2 linked regions of the Astyanax mexicanus genome follow. The protein of the gene in region 1 interacts with the protein of each later gene in a pairwise test. Links are inferred from orthologs where the notes say so. Each region holds a gene or a part of one and is shown on either strand. Other genes may lie near its edges.

Region 1 (10,858 bases):
TATTTTATTTAAAAATAAAAATATAAATAAAAAACAGATGCCTACATCTCAGACTATTTTCCCACACTTCACTCCTCGCGCCCGTTTTGTCCACAAGTCGCGGACGAGAGACATCTGTTATTTTAGCCGTCGCCATTCTACACTCGCTGCTGCTCTGCTGGCTTGCGCGTGAATCGATTCATTTGTTCAGAACACTAAGTTTATCTGAATCCTGCCACACCGACTGCTGCGGTGTGAATCAGTTTTCTTATGAACTGAATCAAATCGCGCCTACTAATTTGACTCATTTGAAGCTAGTGACTGGGCTATATACAGTATCGAAAGCATCGAACGCTAAAGAACCGAATCGTTTGTGATGACGTAGTATCGAAAAAGAATCGAACCTTCGGTACACCGTGCAACTCTAATATATATGTATATGTGTGTACATGTATATATATATACATATATATATATATGTATATATATATACATATACATATACATATACATGTGTATATATATATATGTTTACATTCTTTAGCTGTTATTCTGCTTCGGAGGTCTGATTTCTTCATATATTGTTTAATTTTGTTGGATAAAGTAAACCCTACACTAATCAAAGCCTTAATTTAAAGCGTTTTTTTTTTTTTAATAGTTCCATAAACCCTATAAATGGACATAAAATACTCAATGTTTAAGTATTCAAAAGAGAACTGAACAGATCTCTTGTACAAGCTCTAACAGAAACACAGACTAGACTGCTCAACATCACCCATGTCTTTACCTCTGTGAAGAATCTGTAAAGTAGCATAAGCTAAAAGCTAGCATTTCATACAAAATATCAAAAAGAAGCACAGTTTGTTTTTAAATCTTTCTGTACTCTGTAGTACAAAGTCATTTTGTTCAGTGCTTTTTGATATTGAATTTCAATACACAGCCCTAGCAAGGATGCTGGCACATGCTGAAAGCAATCTGAGCCAAAAAAAAGTTTATCTTGATCTTGTCAAACCACAAGACATATTTTTTGGACTGCCTGTCTTTAGCAATCTGTTTGCAGGCTTGTGCCTTTTTTTGCATTGCACTTCTCACCTCTTCAAACTCTGCAGTAATGCTTGCAGCACTCGTAAATCTATTTCTTAAAGCCAACCACTGGACATTATACAAAACTTCTTTGGTCGATCCTGAGAAGGACTGTTCTGAGTGGAAACCTTTGACCATTGTTCTGTTTCTCAGTTATAAGCAATATTTTTATAGCCTAGGCCATCTCATATTTTTTGCCATGAAGTGCCATGTATGAGAGAATCATACCAAAAACAACAAAATAATAACCCTGCCCCCATTCACACCTCTAACTCTAACAAACCGCATAACATTGGAGAAGGAAAATGTACTCACTTTTGTTGCCAGTGGTTTAGACATTAATGGCTGTGTGTTGAGTTATTTTGAGGACACAGATAAATTACACTATTATACATGCTGGACACTGACTACTTTACATTGAATCAAACTATAATTTTTTCAGTGCTGTTCAATTGAAAGGTATCATACAATATTTACAGCAATGTAAGGAGTGCACTCACTTTTGTGAGGTACTGTTTCTCAAATCAAGTCACAGACTTTTACAGTAATAAAATCTTGGCATTACACAAACTGCTTTTATATTTTATAATTAACTGACAATATGGCAAAACTGAGGTTTTAGAAGTACATTTCATGAACAAAGTATTGGGACATTTTTTCTTCTGAGTTCAAGCATATTAAAAAAAATGTATCCTGCCATTTTTGAGTAACTGTCTTTACTGCCCAGAGAAGACGTTCAACTAAAATGTAAAGCATTGAGGATTTAATGGCACTAATAAAAAAAGCATATGCAAGGTCAGGATGTTGGATCACCACCCTACCTCATTCCCAACTCGTAAAATTACTGGACAGAGAACCTTCATTTCAGAGAACACAGTTGCACTGTTCCACAGGGCCTGGTATTAGGCATGGTGCAAACAGGCTAATGTTTACTGATCTGCTCCAGAGAGTCATATTCTCTTGGCTGTACTTTTGTAAAAGGGCCAATGATTTAAATTGTAGCAAGAACCTGCTTCATTTTGATGTTGTATGTGCTCTACTATGAAATATGCCACACAAATCATATTTTTTTATATATGAAATCAGCTAAGGACCTTAAACCTTTTTTAAGTACAAGATCAGTTCTGGTTCTAGATAAATCTATCAAAATCCTCCAGGAAACTCCATACATTATATATAACTCCATATGTTATATATGTGTTAGAATGGCAAATGTATAAGGTATATACTTTTGCAAGCCACTGTAAATAAGCCTTTTTTATCCTTATAGAACCTTAGCTTCATATAATTTTTTTTTCGGTAGACAAAACTTTTCAGGCATTTCAACATATTATATATATATATATATATATATATATATATATATATATATATATATATATATATATATATATATATATATATGTTTATATGTATTTATATCTGCATCTGACAGAGTTTAAAGGATGGAAGCTTTTTGTGTAAACCAACCCATTATTCATGTGAGAAGAATGATTGGAACAGATAAGCTTAAAGTAAATTAAAGTGCATCTGGCCTTCTTATTCTTCAGGTTAATAGTGGTTTTCATCTGCTGGTGAAGCCACTGTACTTTTATTCATTAAAATATTTTCATGAAAATGCCTTTTCTTTATTACTTTTCAAATGGTTGCTATGGCCAATATTTGGTCAATGGCTCTGATCTTTACCATAGACAGCTCTCTGGTTTTCATACTGGTTACTTATATATATGATATAAATGCACAGTCTGCGAAGATAAAACCCAAATCTGTACAGACATTCAGCACTATTTATTGTTTGAAAAATGTATGTATCAGGAGACACCTTGGCAACAAAACACACTTGCCAATCTCATGTTTTTCATGTACTTTTGCTCACAACAAATATGGGTGGGTTCAGACAGAAGGTGCTATCCTCTGAGCTATGTATCTGATCCCAGACAAATGTTTTCAGTCTACAGCAAATATAAAAGAAATTAGCTCTCAATATCTTGGGAAATGATTGTATGTGCAATGCAACACAAAAGAGTGTTACGACATTTTAAAGTATGAGATCAGTTTGAGCCAGACTAACTATTTATAGTTGGAAGTATATTTATTTATATTAATATATTATTTAGTTTATATTACTTTCCACATTTCCTTACATTTTCCCGTTATTCTGAATCAGCAGCTCAGCCGGAGAAACATATGCCTCGAATGAAAACCAAAGTAATTGCGATGTGAGATTAAAAAAAAAAAAAAGAAAAAAAAAAAAAGAAAAAGTGATTCTGTACTTACTTTAAAACCATCCGAGAACATGCCAGTCCGCAATCCCAGTGATAGAGCTGTCGAATTATTGGTACGTTCAATAAAACGACATCATCTACAAAATAGTTCGCAGGTTAAGATAACAAGGACATCTGTCGTTGGACTTTAATGGCAAAATCAAGAAAATTAACTAGCTAGTTAGATTAACCAGGTAAATATCCATCTGCTAAGTGAATGTGAAGCAGATACCCTGAACATCTAATCACAATCTGAGGCATGGCAAAGTATCACTTAAACAAGACATTCAAAGAACCTATGTAGAAAGCTAGCTTAACGAAGGTTAGTAAAGCTACCCTAAAAACAAAACTTTTAGCATAGCTTACCTGTCATGATGTATTGAGCTAGTTAATGTTACTTTCCCATTAACATTTATCCAGCGCAGTTCTTCATTCTACGGTTTAACGTATGTTTTAATAAGCAGATCCCCGGCTTCACCCGCACAAACAGCCCTAGCTCAGCTCGCTGGGTTAGAGCCAGTACACTACTTATTACCCTGGTTAACTACTATTAACTTTAAAGTCTACCTTTAGTTCAGCGCGCTGTTCTGTCCTTCTGAAAGCGTTATGAGAGTAGAGCCGAATAGCACTAATAACCAGTAACACTAGTATTACCCAGCAGTAATAACGAGTAACACTAGTATTACCCAGCCCTAATAAACAGTAAAACTAATATTGCCCTGCACTTATGGCCAGTAACACTAATATTACCTTGATTTTATAACCATTAATATCTAATATTACTTTGTGTGCTACTGTTTTTAACCGATGCACAATCCTATATGCCCGTCCTGGTTCCCCATCGCAAGGCCCCTCGGGCTGCTTTGGTGACGCCTGTTCAAAAAACACTAGTACTACTTGCCAAGCCGGTCCATAAGTCTAGCCTCTCGCTGCATTCAAGAGTGGTTGGCGTCCAACTCCGGCCACATTATTGGTTGGAGCGTAAATCCAAAATCGCCGCCATATTGGTTGGGTCTCCACTCAATTCTAGCACCAGAGCACACGCAACAGAGTATATATTATACATATATCAGTTAGATATATTTATAACATGTTTCCTATTAATGTTCCAGTGAGCGTCCTGTATCATAACTACATATCTGCCGTTTGTAACAAACCAAACAAAGTTGTGATTATTATAGTTGTATTATACACCTTCCTCAGTACAAATAAATTCACTTAGGGTACACGGGAGACCCATCTAAAATGGCGGCCGTGCTGAAAAATCAGCTCCAATAGGCGGTGTCTGTCTATATCTATGTCTCAATTCAGGGGCTGCATTCTTCGAAGGACGCAGTCTACGAAGGTGTGTCCTTCGATGTGTAGGCTGCGATGGCAGTACTGAAATGGGACAGTCCAGAGCCGTAGAAAGCCGTAAAAATATCTCTATAGTATTTCCTGTTTCCTGTTTGAGATTCTACCCGCCACAACCAAAGTAAGAGCTGAGAAATGAGCCAGTTACTTAAATATTTTAAATGTGAACGGGTGGAACTGAACATAAACAAATAAAAGGGCGTTTGAAATGAAGTTGGAAAAAAGAGCATAAATTAGAATAAAGTATTATGTTATATTATTTATTATATATATTATATATTATATAGTATTATGTATTTTTATATATATATATAAATATATATAAATACTATATATATTATTTAGTTTATGTAAATAAATATATAAGTATTTATATATCTATAACTATTAACATATAACAACATAAACATGATACTACATATATAAACTAAATAATACTATATATATATATATATATATATATATATATATATATATATATATATATATAAACTAAATAATATAAATGATATAATATATAAATAATATTTATAATATCTATAAGTATTTATATATCTATAAACTACATAATACTACATATCCTACATAATACAGCCGACTCAGTTGAATCCGCCCTTTTCGTGCTGAAATAACCCACTAAACATTAGACGTCTTATGGACGTGCAGATCATGTCTATATTGCGTCGGTCGGTCCAAGACCAATTCTGTACGTCTACAAGACGTGCAAACTAGGTCCGCTATTTGGACGTCTAACTATGACCCCACTTGGACGTCAATATGCAGTTAAACATTTGAACGTCGGACTAGGTCACTTTTTTGGACGTCATGGGGACGTCTAATACAGGTGCAGGAAATTAACATTATTTAAGAATATATTTATTTTTAAATGTATGTCAAAATTGTTGTTATCAATATTGTTAATCACTATGAATATAGATTATTTATGATTAAGCATCATTTATTTCTAATTATTTATTTGAGTATTATATTTTTTATCTATTTAATTAATTAACGAATGTAGGTATTTATTTACGTATGTTTTTATTTTTATTTGGAAATGCAATTTATGTGGAAAATTGTTAAGTTGATTTCAACCAGTCAACGCCACTCTGATTTGCTGAGACCGCACGTCATCATAAACTCCACTCTGATATGCCGAGGCAAAACACGCTAAACATTTTTTACCGCGGTCACGCCATCTGCACTTAGAAAACGCTCGGTCGCGCTATCTACACCGAAAACTGAAGTGCGCGTCTAAACCGTGTTTTACTGTAGCAGCGTGCACAGCGCACCCGGAGGAGCGGAGACTGGCGCTTCTCGTGCAGAGACTTAAAATGGAACAGAAACTAGTTTTACACCTAAATAAAAATGATTTAACGAGATCTAATCCACAAATATACACCAGAAAGACCACTTCTTATCTGTAGAACAGTGTAACGTTTTGAAAAGGTTTGGAGTGTTATTAAATAAGTAATTGTTATAAAATCACATCCCTAAATTCTTAAAGATCTTATTCTCATGTATCCCAGATATATGTTTGAAGTGATATTACTGTATCATTTTTGAGTAATTGAATACCAAAACTATCTATTTCGGAGTGCTATAAATCTAAAAGAAAATCTAATTCTTCTTAAATCAGAACATGAAATCCTTAAAGAATACCTTCCATACTATTTATGTCATGCATGTATACTGATTGTACAGTATCATTTTGGAGTAAATGAATACCAAACTTAGGAAAAATGTATATTCGGTTTTGCATAAACCAGATTTCGGTGTCCTATAAAACCTTCAAATCAAATTGTTATCCAATGAAACCAAGAAAGTCTTGAAGAAAACATTCCATTCTATTAATGACATGAGTAACAAGTGATATTACTGTATCATTCTGGAGTAATTGAATACCAAACATAGGAAAAATGTCTATTCGGTTGTGCATAAACCACATTTCAGAGTCCTATAAAACCAGCAAATCAAATTGTTATCCAATGGCACTAACAAAGGCTTGGAAAACACATTCTATACTATTAATATATACATATATATCAAGTGATTTTACTCTACCATTTTGGAGTAATTAAATATCAAACATACAAAAAGTGTTAATTCACTTTTGCATAAATCAGATTTCAGAGTCCTATAAAACAAGCAAATCAAATTGTTATCCAATGCCACTAAGACATTCTTGAAGAACACATTCCATACTATTAATGACATGAGTAACAAATGATATTACTGTATCATTTTGGAGTAATTGAATACGAAGCTTAGGAAAAATGTCTATTTGGTTGCGCAAAAACCTGATTTTGGAGTCCTGTAAAACCAGCAAATTAAATTGTTATCAAATGCTACCGAGACTGTCTTGAAGAACACATTCCATTCTATTATTGACATGAGTAATAAGTGATATTACTGTATAATTTTGGATTAATTGGATACCAAACTTAGAAAAATGTCTATTCAGTTGTGTATAAACCAGATTTTAAGGTCGCATAAAACCAGCAAATCAAATTGTTATCCAATGCCACCAAGACAGTCTTGAAAAACACATTCCATACTATAAATGACATGAGTAACAAGTGATTTTACTGTACCATTTTGGAGTAATTAAATATCAAACATACGAAAAATGTTGATTCACTTTTGCATAAACCAGATTTCAGAGTCCTACAAACCATTAAAACAAATTGTTATCCAATGCCACTGATAAAGTCTTGAAAAGCACATTCTATACTATTATTGACATGAGTATCAAGTGATTTTACTGTATCATTTTGAAATAATTGGATACCAAACTTGGAAAAAATGTCTATTCGGTTGTGCATTAACCACATTTCAGAGTCCTATAAAACCAGCAAATCAAATCGTTATCCAATGGCACTAACAAAGTCTTGAAGAACACATTCTATACTATTATTGACATGAGTATCAAGTGATTTTACTGTATCATTTTGGAGTAATTGGATACCAAACTTAGGAAAAATTTCTGTTCGGTTGTGCATAAACCAGATTTTAAGGTCCCACAAAACCAGCAAATTAGATTGTTATCCAATGCCACCAAGACAGTCTTGAAGAACACATTGCAAACTATTAATGACATGAGTAACAAATGATATTACTGTATCATTCTGGAGTAATTGGATACCAAGCTTAGGAAAAATGTCTATTCAGTTGTGAAAAAACCTGATTTCAGAGTCCTATAAAACCAGCAAATCAAATTGTTATCCAATGGCACTAACAAAGGCTTGGAAAACACATTCTATACTATTAACAACATATATATCAAGTGATTTTACTGTACCATTTTGGAGTAATTAAATATCAAACATACAAAAAGTGTTAATTCACTTTTGCATAAATCAGATTTCAGAGTCCTATAAAACAAGCAAATCAAATTGTTATCCAATGCCACTAAGACATTCTAGAAGAACACATTCCATACTATTAATGACATGAGTAACAAATGATGTTACTGTATCATTTTGGAGTAATTGAATACGAAGCTTAGGAAAAATGTCTATTTGGTTGCGCAAAAACCTGATTTTGGAGTCCTGTAAAACCAGCAAATTAAATTGTTATCAAATGCTACCAAGACTGTCTTGAAGAACACATTCCATTCTATTATTGACATGAGTAATAAGTGATATTACTGTATAATTTCGGATTAATTGGATACCAAACATACGAAAAATGTTGATTCACTTTTGCATAAACCAGATTTCAGAGTCCTACAAACCATTAAAACAAATTGTTATCCAATGCCACTGATAAAGTCTTGAAAAGCACATTCTATACTATTATTGACATGAGTATCAAGTGATTTTACTGTATCATTTTGAAATAATTGGATACCAAACTTGGAAAAAATGTCTATTCGGTTGTGCATAAACCAGATTTTAAGGTCCCATAAAACCAGCAAATTAAATTGTTATCCAATGCCACCAAGACAGTCTTGAAGAACACATTGCAAACTATTAATGACATGAGTAACAAGTGATTTTACTGTACCATTTTGGAGTAATTAAATATCAAACATACGAAAAATGTTGATTCACTTTTGCATAAACCAGATTTCAGTCCTACAAACCATTAAAACAAATTGTTATCCAATGCCACTGATAAAGTCTTGAAAAGCACATTCTATACTATTACTGACATGAGTATCAAGTGATTTTACTGTATCATTTTGAAATAATTGGATACCAAACTTGGAAAAAATGTCTATTCGGTTGTGCATAAACCACATTTCAGAGTCCTACAAAACCAGCAAATCAAATCGTTATCCAATGGCACTAACAAAGTCTTGAAGAACACATTCTATACTATTATTGACATGAGTATCAAGTGATTTTACTGTATCATTTTGGAGTAATTGGATACCAAACTTAGGAAAAATTTCTGTTCGGTTGTGCATAAACCAGATTTTAAGGTCCCATAAAACCAGCAAATTAAATTGTTATCCAATGCCACCAAGACAGTCTTGAAGAACACATTGCAAACTATTAATGACATGAGTAACAAATGATATTACTGTATCATTCTGGAGTAATTGGATACCAAGCTTAGGAAAAATGTCTATTCAGTTGTGAAAAAACCTGATTTCAGAGTCCTATAAAACCAGCAAATTAAATTGTTATCCAATGCCACCAAGACAGTCTTGAAGAACACATTCTATACTATCAATGACTTGAGTAACAAATGATATTACTGTATCATTTTGGCTTAATTGGAGACCAAACTTAGAATAAATGTCTGTTCGGTTGGGCACAAACCAGATTTTAAGGTCCCATAAAACCAGCATATTAAATTGTTATCCAATGCCACCAAGACATTCTTGAAAATCACATTCTATACTATTATTGACATGAGTATCAAGTGATTTTACTGTATCATTTTGAAATAATTGGATACCAAACTTGGAAAAAATGTCTATTCGGTTGTGCATAAACCACATTTCAGAGTCCTACAAAACCAGCAAATCAAATCGTTATCCAATGGCACTAACAAAGTCTTGAAGAACACATTCTATACTATTATTGACATGAGTATCAAGTGATTTTACTGTATCATTTTGAAATAATTGGATACCAAACTTGGAAAAAATGTCTATTCGGTTGTGCATAAACCAGATTTTAAGGTCCCATAAAACCAGCAAATTAAATTGTTATCCAATGCCACCAAGACAGTCTTGAAGAACACATTGCAAACTATTAATGACATGAGTAACAAGTGATTTTACTGTACCATTTTGGAGTAATTAAATATCAAACATACGAAAAATGTTGATTCACTTTTGCATAAACCACATTTCAGAGTCTTACAAACCATTAAAACAAATTGTTATCCAATGCCACTGATAAAGTCTTGAAAAGCACATTCTATACTATTACTGACATGAGTATCAAGTGATTTTACTGTATCATTTTGAAATAATTGGATACCAAACTTGGAAAAAATGTCTATTCGGTTGTGCATAAACCACATTTCAGAGTCCTACAAAACCAGCAAATCAAATCGTTATCCAATGGCACTAACAAAGTCTTGAAGAACACATTCTATACTATTATTGACATGAGTATCAAGTGATTTTACTGTATCATTTTGGAGTAATTGGATACCAAACTTAGGAAAAATTTCTGTTCGGTTGTGCATAAACCAGATTTTAAGGTCCCATAAAACCAGCAAATTAAATTGTTATCCAATGCCACCAAGACAGTCTTGAAGAACACATTGCAAACTATTAATGACATGAGTAACAAATGATATTACTGTATCATTCTGGAGTAATTGGATACCAAGCTTAGGAAAAATGTCTATTCAGTTGTGAAAAAACCTGATTTCAGAGTCCTATAAAACCAGCAAATTAAATTGTTATCCAATGCCACCAAGACAGTCTTGAAGAACACATTCTATACTATCAATGACTTGAGTAACAAATGATATTACTGTATCATTTTGGCTTAATTGGAGACCAAACTTAGAATAAATGTCTGTTCGGTTGGGCACAAACCAGATTTTAAGGTCCCATAAAACCAGCATATTAAATTGTTATCCAATGCCACCAAGACATTCTTGAAAATCACATTCTATACTATTATTGACATGAGTATCAAGTGATTTTACTGTATCATTTTGAAATAATTGGATACCAAACTTGGAAAAAATGTCTATTCGGTTGT
Region 2 (10,522 bases), on another chromosome or scaffold:
ACTTCCAGACCAACCAAAAATGTCATATATATATATAAAATGCACATTACAATTATATACAAATATAAAAATGTAATTTATAATTCACATTCCAATTATATATAAATATATAAATATACAAAAGACTACATTCACCAAGCACTTTATTAGGATTACCCTTAATTTATGCAATTTTTCTTTTAATGATTTATGTGGAAAAAGTTTAATGTGCACTAGAGGTGTGCCATATCAAATCGTACACAAATATCGCCAACATTTTTTAATATAGCAAATTATATTATACCCTAAATATTGTGCCATATCACACATCCCTAATTACCACATCAAGGTTCTATATTTTTGCTGTTTTTAGCAAAAGAAAAATTCACACAGTTCTCATTTCTCATGATATATCTACTAGAGAGATTATATCTGTCCAGTATTATTTATTTTATTTTATTCCTGGATATATGGAGATATTTGAAGTGCAATATTAGTATCATGACATTCTGGATCAGTGAGTTCTGTTACACATTTGATAAAATTGTTATATTTTTTAATATCTCAGTTAGGGGTGTGCCATGTCAAATTGTATGCAATAATACAATTTAATTTTCATTTTGTAGCAGTAGGGTATTCTTGAAATATTTATATCACCAAGAGTATCGTTAACGTGAAAATACCATAAAATACTGTGATATTGTTTTAGGGGCATATCGCCCAACCGTAATGTGCACATTATGCAGATATAGGTCAGAAGCTTTAAGTAACGTTAACATTAACCATCAGAATTTGCAGAAATTTGAGATCATTTTGAGAGTGGTACAACAGTTGCTGTCAGGAGAACCGGTTTAAGTAATTCCAGAACTGCCAATCCCTGGGATGTTTAGCACAACAATCTCTAGAGGTTACTCAACATCAATCACATTAATAATGAGACAATGAGCAGACTGGTTTGAACAAATAATGGCTGATGCAATAAGAACTCTCATAATGAGTCACAAATGCTGTGACGTACATCTGCGTTTAAAAACAGAAGTGACGAAATTCAGGATGTGAGCAAATGTAAGACATACCTGGAAATAGGCAGACATGAAGGTATTGTCCACAACTACAATAATGTCTTTGTTTTGTTCATGTGCAAGGTCTGAACATGCTTGTATGTCCACAACCTTCATTGTTGGGTTTGATGGAGTCTCAATCCACAACATCTGTATGAAAGAGAACATCCATATGAAATGATGAAACAACAGGCTTCTATTGCTGTATAAAAAACAGCAGACAGAACAGGAAACCAGTAGCCCCACCCACTGTGTGTGTTTAGTGCTGAATCACAAGAGCATTTTAATAAGGGTAGGGACTGAACAGAGTCACAATTAGGCAAGCAAAAAATGAAGTCAAATCACAGTGACTGTGCATAAATTTCATTCTTATGTAATAAAGAAGCTGCTCTTTCAGACCAGACACCCTGGAGTCACACCTTTGTATTAGGCTTAAGAGCTGCCTTTAAGACTTCAGGCTTTGTGCAATCAGCGAAGGAGATATCATAGCCAATTTCTTTAGCTATTCTTTGGAAATAGCGATTGGTTCCTGGTGAGGAAAATAAGAAACACATTAAATTCATTATCACTTCCTCATTTTTGCCACTTCCTTTTTTGCTCAAGCAACAGAATTCAAGGAATTACAAACAGTGTGTGTAGCGGTCGCCTACCTCCATAGACATCATTCATGCACACGATTCCATCCCCAGATTTCAGCATGTGCGTAACGGTCACAGTAGCAGCAAGTCCAGAGGCAAGAGCAACACCTATCATTAACAAACCACATCACTATCATCATCATCATCATCATCATCATCATCAATTACAAGAACCTGCTTAGTCACACATTTGGAAATACCTACTGTTATGTAATAAAGAGGAAGCAGCACAACTTGCCAACAGATGAATGAGATGTGTCAGTTTTAAAAGCAGGTTACTATGACTTTATCTGATGCAATACTGAGCTTATCTCTTCAAGGTGAGTGAGCATGCGATTGTCAGTTACACCTGCACCAATCGTCTGTTCTTCTCACACAGTCTTTTCAGTAACAGTAAGGTGTACAGTAAGCTGATCATTTACACAGCGCTCACAAGTTATTATAAGTACTTAAGTAAATAGGTAACTAAACAGATGACTTACAGTGCTTAGCTCCATCCAAAGAAGCAACCGCCTTCTCAAGGCAGTTGCGTGTGGGATTTCCACTGCGACTGTACTCAAATCCCTAGTGATTAAAACAAAAAAATATGGAACAAATACTGAATGCAAACCAACAAAACATAAAACTACAGTACAAACTATTTATGCTACAAACTAGTAAATGCTGGAAAAAAGTCTAATTATGACCATATAGGCCAATATGTTATATCACAGAGATAGTATAATTAGCCCTGGTTAACTGGATTTAGTACAGTAAAGCATCTAAAAGACTCATTAATGATGTTTAATGTTTTTGACAGTACTTTTAAAATTGTTTTAAAAAACTTGGCGTAGGACTAGACAGCAATTACTTGTGACCCTCTGTGCGTTTCAAGTGCTTAACCAGTTCACAGTTTTTCTGACGTTTCAATTTGCTGCACATATCAAAGCTAAAATCATTTAATAACAAGCAATACTCTGGTAAAGCTGACATTATTTGGTAAGTCTTTTGGCACCAGCTCAATGGATCTGGAACTGACCAGTCACAACTAAAAACAGATCTATCAGCTGTTGCACAAGTGGGCTTACAACATGCCCACTTTGATACAGAGGCACGAAGCCTTTACATAGCAGGTGGACTTTACCGGCAATCTGTTTTTCTCTTTTTAACCTTGACCCACACTTGAACTTACCAGGCTATCAGTATCTACTCTCAGGAATTATTAGTAAGAGAAAGTGTACAAAGGGCAATCAGATGTGTGATTTATTACTGTCAATCTGGCTCCATTAAATCACTTCATTGAAAACCAAAAAGAGAATACTGCTGTACCACATTATTCAAATGTCAGCCAGTGTTGAACTGAGCTCAGGGCGGCCACAAAGGTCTTTTTGGGCTAACTGCCCAAAGTAGAATGGTTCCTATTGTTCTCCACAACAAACACATCTCACCTGCTTTCAACTCTCCCTGATGGCTGAAACATAAACAGCAGCACTGACAATGTGCGATAAAAAAATATACACACATATACTTTGTTGTATTATAGAGAATTATTTAAAGGGACCACGTATTGAATAATAAATAGGTGATAAAATCAGCCTGATATATTTAATGGGTTTATTAATAGAAATGAAGGATAAGGTAAGCTATCTAACATGATAACTGATATTAAAATATATCTGATAGTTTGATATGATTGCCTATGATTGATATGATGACTGTATAGTTTACTCTTATTCTGCCACATATCATGTAGTTACTCCACTGGAAGCTTTTATAATGATAATGATAAAAAAAAGAAGAACACTATCTAGCAATAATCTAAATGGCATAGAGGGTTAAATTCACTAAATATTGTAATGAAAATGAAACTAGATGATACACTAGATCATGTTTGGGCACTTTAATCTACTCCACTCACCCTGCTGAGCGATGTAAAATGATAACTGACAGTGAAATATGGGGATCTTTCCTCAATATTAAAATCTTGTAATGTAAATGAAACTAGATGATACACTAGATCATGTTTGGGCACTTTAATCTACTCCCCTGACCTTGCTGACCTACCTAAAATGATAATTGATATTGGAGTATAGGTGATATGTTTTACATATGATTTAAATAGCTATCTTTCTACACATAAACCTATTAAAATCTTGTACTGTAAATGATACTAGATGATATAGATCATGTTTGGGCACTTTAATCTACTCCCCTGACCCTGCTGACCTATGTAAAACTATAGCTGATATTGAAATATGGCTGATATTTTCACATTTTATATACATTTCTCACATTTTTTCTGGCAAACATCCTGTAGCTAGCTACTCAACTGGGAGCTTTTAAAATTCATAATAAGAATATCTGACTAAAATCTTCATCAACCCACCCAACATCTAACCTAGCTAAATATTTAGCTATCTTTCCACCCTTTAACCCATTAAAACATTCACATGTAAATGATACTAGATGATATTAGATGATATATAATGTTTGGGCACTTTAATCTACTCCCCTGAACCTGCTGAGTGCTCATAAATGTGTTATTATAGGGAATTTATGGATATTATAAGCAGTGAGGCCACAAATCTCTTTCTTTGTGTTGATAAAGAGGGGGTTCATTTAGTCTAGTTTAGCCGGGTCGAGTTAATCACATCATCATGGCTAATGAACCACAGTAAATAACACAGCCTGCGGTCCCGCTTATTATCTACAGAGCAGCCGGGGGAACACGGGCTATTTAACCACACTGATTTAACGTTACCGGGTGGGTCTAAATCCACGTTCTTCTTAAAGACACTATACCACCCCCTCCCCAGGTAACCCGAGCCGCCCCCGGGTACTCACCGCGTGCTTGCCCGGGCCGTACTGTTTAAAGGTGGTGGAGAGTGAAATGGGAGGAACCACGGCCATGGAGTTCCACTGCTCCGGCTCCTGGCCTACGTGAATCGCGTCCGTGGCGAAAGAGCTGAACCCGGACAGCCACTCGCCGCCGCTGCCGCTAGCCATGCTTTATTTACTGCTGACCGGCCTGGAGGAGACACGCGTCCCTGAGAGCAGATCAACACGCGCGGGGGGAGGAATCACACTGCCTGCGTACCAGAGACCGCGGTTACCACTGAAACCCGGAGCAGCAGAAACATTAGTCTTATACCCGCGAACCGTCTGACTCCCTCCCGCACACTGACAGCCATTGGCGTGCGCGTGGGGGCGCGGTGCACCACGTGACCCACGTTTGCGGAGACCCGACGTCCCGATGATGCAACACGTTCAACCAACAATACAGAGACAACGTGCTGTATTATCTAACGTTATATTATGTTAACCACACTTTTACACTTAATCATATCATTTGTTACTATACCAGTACATCGAATAAACCTTTAGAATATATTGTAAACTTTTATATTCTACTTAAAATATATTTTATTCACAAAGCTTTCCTATATTTAATTGAGTTTAATTTACTTCTCCAATCTTTAAGTAGAATCCATACAAAAAAACGTTATTCTATTATTATGATTTATTTTATAATGATGATCTATCGTATATCGATTAGCCTTCCTCAATTATTGTATTTTTGTTTTATTTCTAATTTAGATTTCCTGTTCAATAAGCATGATGCAAGAATAATTAAGTTTGTACCCACCAATAACTCATATATTGTAAATTGTCTGACATTTTTTGTATACTTGTTTGTTGAACCAAAATACAGTAAAAACATAAACAGCGTATATCCTGTCCATTCTGTGTTTGATGAAATATGGCTGTAACAATGAAAATACAGGACGAACTGTTTTAAGTGAATATTTTAAAACCCTTATATTATTGTGTTGTGTAATTATTATTATATTATACATTATATTGAGCAAAACATTGTTATTTAATCATTTAAAAAACATGTTTTGCTTCTTAAAACTTGCATAGTACTTTAACAGTTCCCCCTCCAAAAAGAGCACTCTGTGTCCTGAACCTGAACTTGCCCTATTCAAGAGCTTGTTGTTGAGTAATGTTTGTGATAACATTGTACTCTGTATGCCCTGAAGACAGGATTAATGAAATATGCACAATGAAAAAGAAAAATTAACTAAATAAGGAAACAGTAAGCAAAAAACTAAGTGAACAAAATATTTTACAAGGAAGTTCAAAAACATTTGTAACTAAATAGCTAAATATTAGCTTGCTGAAGTTAAAGGAATGCAGTTTTATTAGTATTAGTATTATAAGTCTACTGATCACAGGTATAATTTTTCTGTTAGTCTCTATCAGTAAACTTTGACATTTAACAATAGCTCTTCCTTTCAGGGTCAGCTTCATCTCTTTTTTTAGGGTTGATTGAACCCGAATAACTGATAGGGTTGAAAAAAACACAACATTCTGTTTACATAACAGTTAACATTAAAAGTAGTAAACTGAACCAATCTGAATTGTGCTGAACCCTTTTAGAATATTAACATAATGATAGAAGTCATTTTAATATCTTAAATTTAATTTACATTTTTTCCCCATTTTTTCCCCAATTTCCACGGCCAATTACCCAACTTACTCATTAGGACTCCCCATATCACTAGTGATGCCCCAAAATCTATGGAGTCAAAAAAGGGTCATAAAGATTTTGAGTTTGTAAAACAGAAATGTACTGAAACTTGTAACTGCGTTTAAACAACTGCATGCACGAAAATCCAAATCCACAAATTAACTGGAATGTGCAAACTTGAAACAGAAAGTAATATTAATAATAATTCAAATGTACAAATGTGAAAAAAATATTTTAATTATATATAAATATATATATTTTAATTTGTAAATCCAATCTCTTCAATGTGTGAATCAGTACTGCTCAAATGGCTTAAGCTGGGTCAGACCAAAAATCACATGGAATTTGTGAGGTTGTAAATGTGACAGTGGGTGTTTTTCACTGTGGAGCTAAAAATCCTCTCATTCATCTTCTCTGCTGCGTGTGCGAAGCTCCAGCTGCAGTTGCGAATTTTGACCCTGTTTTGACGCCTGATTGATGGACCAATAGGAAAGCTTTATCCGGACCAATCAGATTACGGGGTTTGTTTAACCAATCAGAACAATGGGTGGGTCTCTGCAGCTCGGAGTACTGAGAGGATTTTTAGCTCCACAGTGAAAAACACCCACTGTCACATTTACAACCTCACAAATTCCATGTGATTTTTGGTCTGACCCAGCTTAAGCCATTTGAGCAGTACTGATTCACACATTCAAGAGATTGGATTTACAAATTAAAATATATATATTTATATATAATTAAAATATTTTTTTCACATTTGTACATTTGAATTATTATTAATATTACTTTCTGTTTCAAGTTTGCACATTCCAGTTAATTTGTGGATTTGGATTTTCGTGCATGCAGTTGTTTAAACGCAGTTACAAGTTTCAGTACATTTGTGACTTCTGTTTTACAAACTCAAAATCTTTATGACCCTTTTTTGACTCCATAAAAATCAAGAGGGTGAAGACTAGCACATGCCTCCTCCTATACATGTAAAGTCAGCCACTGCCTCTTTTCGAACTGCTGCTGATGCAAAATTTACCATTTTATATATTAGGAAACATATGATTACAAAGCATTTTATGACCAAACACAGAGTGAATTACTTGCTAAGACTTTGCACTAGTTCAAATGAGCTCTGGCCCTCTGTGAGGACCTGTGTGCGCAAACAAATCCATGATATTGAAGTTTTTTGATATGAAAATAATGCCTATAAAGTTGGTTTATGAAGTGCTTACAAACAAAAAAGACAACAGTGAACAGTAATTTGCTTAATCAATATGGAAGGCTAAATATAATTTGTTATACTGTTATAATGCAGCAGAATTAAAAGTAACACTTTATAAACTTGTTATTTTGTCATGTTATTACATTTTTCTTGCAACCACTTTTACATGTGATCATATTTCCTTACTTAAATATATTTTTGGGAAAACTACAAAATAACATATCAAATCTTTAAAGTATATTATTCCAATGTGAAGCTGCCACATTTGTTTATATGAGGAAATGTCAATAAAAATAGTCATTGTAGCATAACGTAGTGGGTGTAATTTGCATCTGACCACATTTTATTTAGGGCAGCTTTTGCTCGTCATAGGAAGCCAGTCTCCCCTCTCTAAAAAGTGGTGTTAGGGAGGAGAGATAACAGAGTTAAAGGGAGGAGATGGGGCAGTGGAGGGTTGCGAAGACTTGTTGTGAACATGTACAATAAGCAAGGTAGAAAGTATTCATAGGATGTTATATTAAGAAAGGGGCTTCAGGCATGTTACTCATTCCAACATTTTGTTATTTCATAATAACAGGTTAGCACAAAAAGTAAGCACTAAAAGTAAATCTCATATCGTTAAAAATCCTGTTGATTTCCCTTTTAAATGGTAGATGTGTTTGTGGGATGAGCAGCAGAGCTGAGTATGTGGGTTTTGCCCATTAAAAAATTGCCAAACAGCTTATTTTTCTGTTTATATTAATACTTGTTTTGAGTTTCTAGTACACTTGACTAATCTGGATAGGACTCAGGCATTAGGGAAACTTTTTATTATTATTACTTTTTTTGTCCTATTTTTTCCCCCCAATTTACCATGCCAATTACCTAACCCATTCATTAGGACTCTCTCTGTCACTAGTGATGCCTCAACACCAGGAGGGTGAAGACTAGCACATGCCTCCTCCAACACATGTGAATTCAGCCACCTCCTCTTTTCAAACTGTTGGTGATGCAGCATTGCTGAATAGCATCACAGCGCACTCGGAGGAAAGCACAGCGACTCGGTTCTGATATATCAGCTCACAGACGCCTTTGGAGTGAGGTGGGAAGAGATTGCCATAAAGGACAATTGTGCTCTCTCGGGGGTCCAGAAGCTGAAGGCAAGCTACATAAACGGGATTTGAATCAGCAATCTCCCCAGCTGGACTACTCAGAGAATGGTGGTTGGGCAACTTTAAGTTGGTGTTCTGCAAAACCAAGTTGCGACATTATTTGGCGTGAGCCCTAGTAGTATCTTCAAATTTAAGACTGGAAAGACAGGCCGAGGGGTGGGCGTCCCAAGAAGTTCGTTAAACACCAAATATGTAAATGAAACAATACGCTGTTTGGCAATGGCAGAGAGGATTTGGCAAAAAATCTATGGGTGCAATCCACATACTTAGCTCTGCTGCTCATCCCACAAATGCATGTTCCTTACAAATATGGCATCATTTAAAAGAAAACTTAACATGCTTTACAAAGATATAAGATGTATTGCCAAGAAGCAAACAAATAATCCACCAAATAAAAATCTCTTTACTTTTTGTGCTATGTTGATTTTTTTTGTTTCTTCTAGCAACTATTAGACACGTTATCTATAGTCCAGACTTAACTTCCTGCATGCAAATGTCTGAGGCTGCAAAATGAGCCTTTCCTGTTGGGCCTGTGTGAGCAGTAGGGCTACACCCACATGTGCATGGTTTATGTTTATCAGTTTACAAATGCAGGAAGAAGAAAGGCTCATGTAGAAGTTTTACAACCGATAACCAAATGATGTGAGCTGCTAGGCCTGTGAAAGCTTGCAAAGCTGTGTGAAAGGAGGAACACTCTGGATGGGAGCTAAAGGACAGCACACTACTGGGAGCTAGTTTGAACATTATTTCTGTTGCATTATGTTGTTGAAGGGTGTGCTTGTGGGAAAGCAGCACGCTCAGCAGGTTTGAACAGATCTTCTTAAATCTTCTCAGACAGCTTTTTCTTTTTTTTCATTGCTTTTTTTCTTTTGACAACATAATTGCAAACTGTGTGATGTGCTATATGAGCTAATCCCCAACTGGAAATGAGGAAAACATGGTTTAGGACATTGCTGCTGAACTTTTTATGTTTTTATACATGTCAAGGTAGGTTGAATAATCCATGTACACACCCTTTGGTTACAAACAACACTGGCACTGTGTATTTTAATTTACAGTTCTGTTCATGTAACTCTTTTTCCATATAGCTAAAACATGTGTAGTTGGAATGTTGGGGGAATCTGTCTCTATTCCCTGTCTTTATAATGGACCAGAGGATTTGAGCTCTTTAAACATTTCATTTGAATGGAAAAGAGGCTCTGAGGTGGTCTACAAAGCTGTGTGGAGAGGGGGACATGAGGAAAGACTCGAAGTGGACTTCAATGGCAGGAGCACAGTGTCCTCTCTGGCACAAACTGGAAATTTCACGTTGAAGTTAAGTGACATCCGTTTTCCAGATGCCCAGAATTACAGTCTATATTTAAAGCGTCTGGACCGTGGAGCTAATGCTTCAATATGCACTGTCTGCCTGAGTGTTGCAGGTAAGAATTATCATGTATCACATATTAAATATTATGCATATATATATATATATATATATATATATATATATATATATATATATATATATATATATATATATATATATATATGTTTATTTATGCTAAACATTTCTAGCTATATACACATATATTTTAAGAGATACTTAACATATAATAAATTGTCTGATGCACACCAAACACAATTTATACTTTACATGGCCATTTAGCAATATACCATTGCTCTGGCTCCCTTTTATTGTGCTTTATTTAAAAAGCAGTCCAGGCTAAAACATTTCTTAATACTTCAGCATGAATGGGGGGATGGAAAAAGTTGCTTGCTGATATATGCAAATGTGTTGGTTTTTTTGACATCACACAAACAGTTAATGCACAACAGTCTTTTTGTAGCTTAGTTTTCATATATTGACTGAGGAATGACAGAGCTACTTGATAATAAGATTAATACCCAAAGCCGTAGGAAACCCTATACTAAAGCATAATAATAATTACTTGGCATTTTAACCTAACAAAAACTTAAAGCTTAAA

The links.
Region 2: the proteins of gucd1 (region 1) and cth interact in binary tests that used the Homo sapiens proteins (3 or more experiments, as listed by UniProt). The two-hybrid records come from large-scale screens. The link is inferred for Astyanax mexicanus from reciprocal best matches to the Homo sapiens genes GUCD1 and CTH.

Annotation. Positions count from the first base shown.
Region 1 is NC_064419.1:13,457,710-13,468,567, reverse strand, and holds the start of gucd1 (protein GUCD1), read right to left. Parts: upstream 4,353-10,858; 5' UTR 3,700-4,352; coding exon 3,693-3,699; intron 3,425-3,692; coding exon 3,340-3,424; intron 1-3,339.
Region 2 is NC_064412.1:18,940,971-18,951,492, reverse strand, and holds the start of cth (cystathionine gamma-lyase), read right to left. Parts: upstream 4,848-10,522; 5' UTR 4,664-4,847; coding exon 4,502-4,663; intron 2,243-4,501; coding exon 2,161-2,242; intron 1,787-2,160; coding exon 1,691-1,786; intron 1,570-1,690; coding exon 1,460-1,569; intron 1,191-1,459; coding exon 1,056-1,190; intron 1-1,055. Other genes in the region: ICOS ligand-like, read left to right, coding at 9,482-9,542, 9,644-9,976. UniProt on the Homo sapiens protein: Catalyzes the last step in the trans-sulfuration pathway from L-methionine to L-cysteine in a pyridoxal-5'-phosphate (PLP)-dependent manner, which consists on cleaving the L,L-cystathionine molecule into L-cysteine, ammonia and 2-oxobutanoate.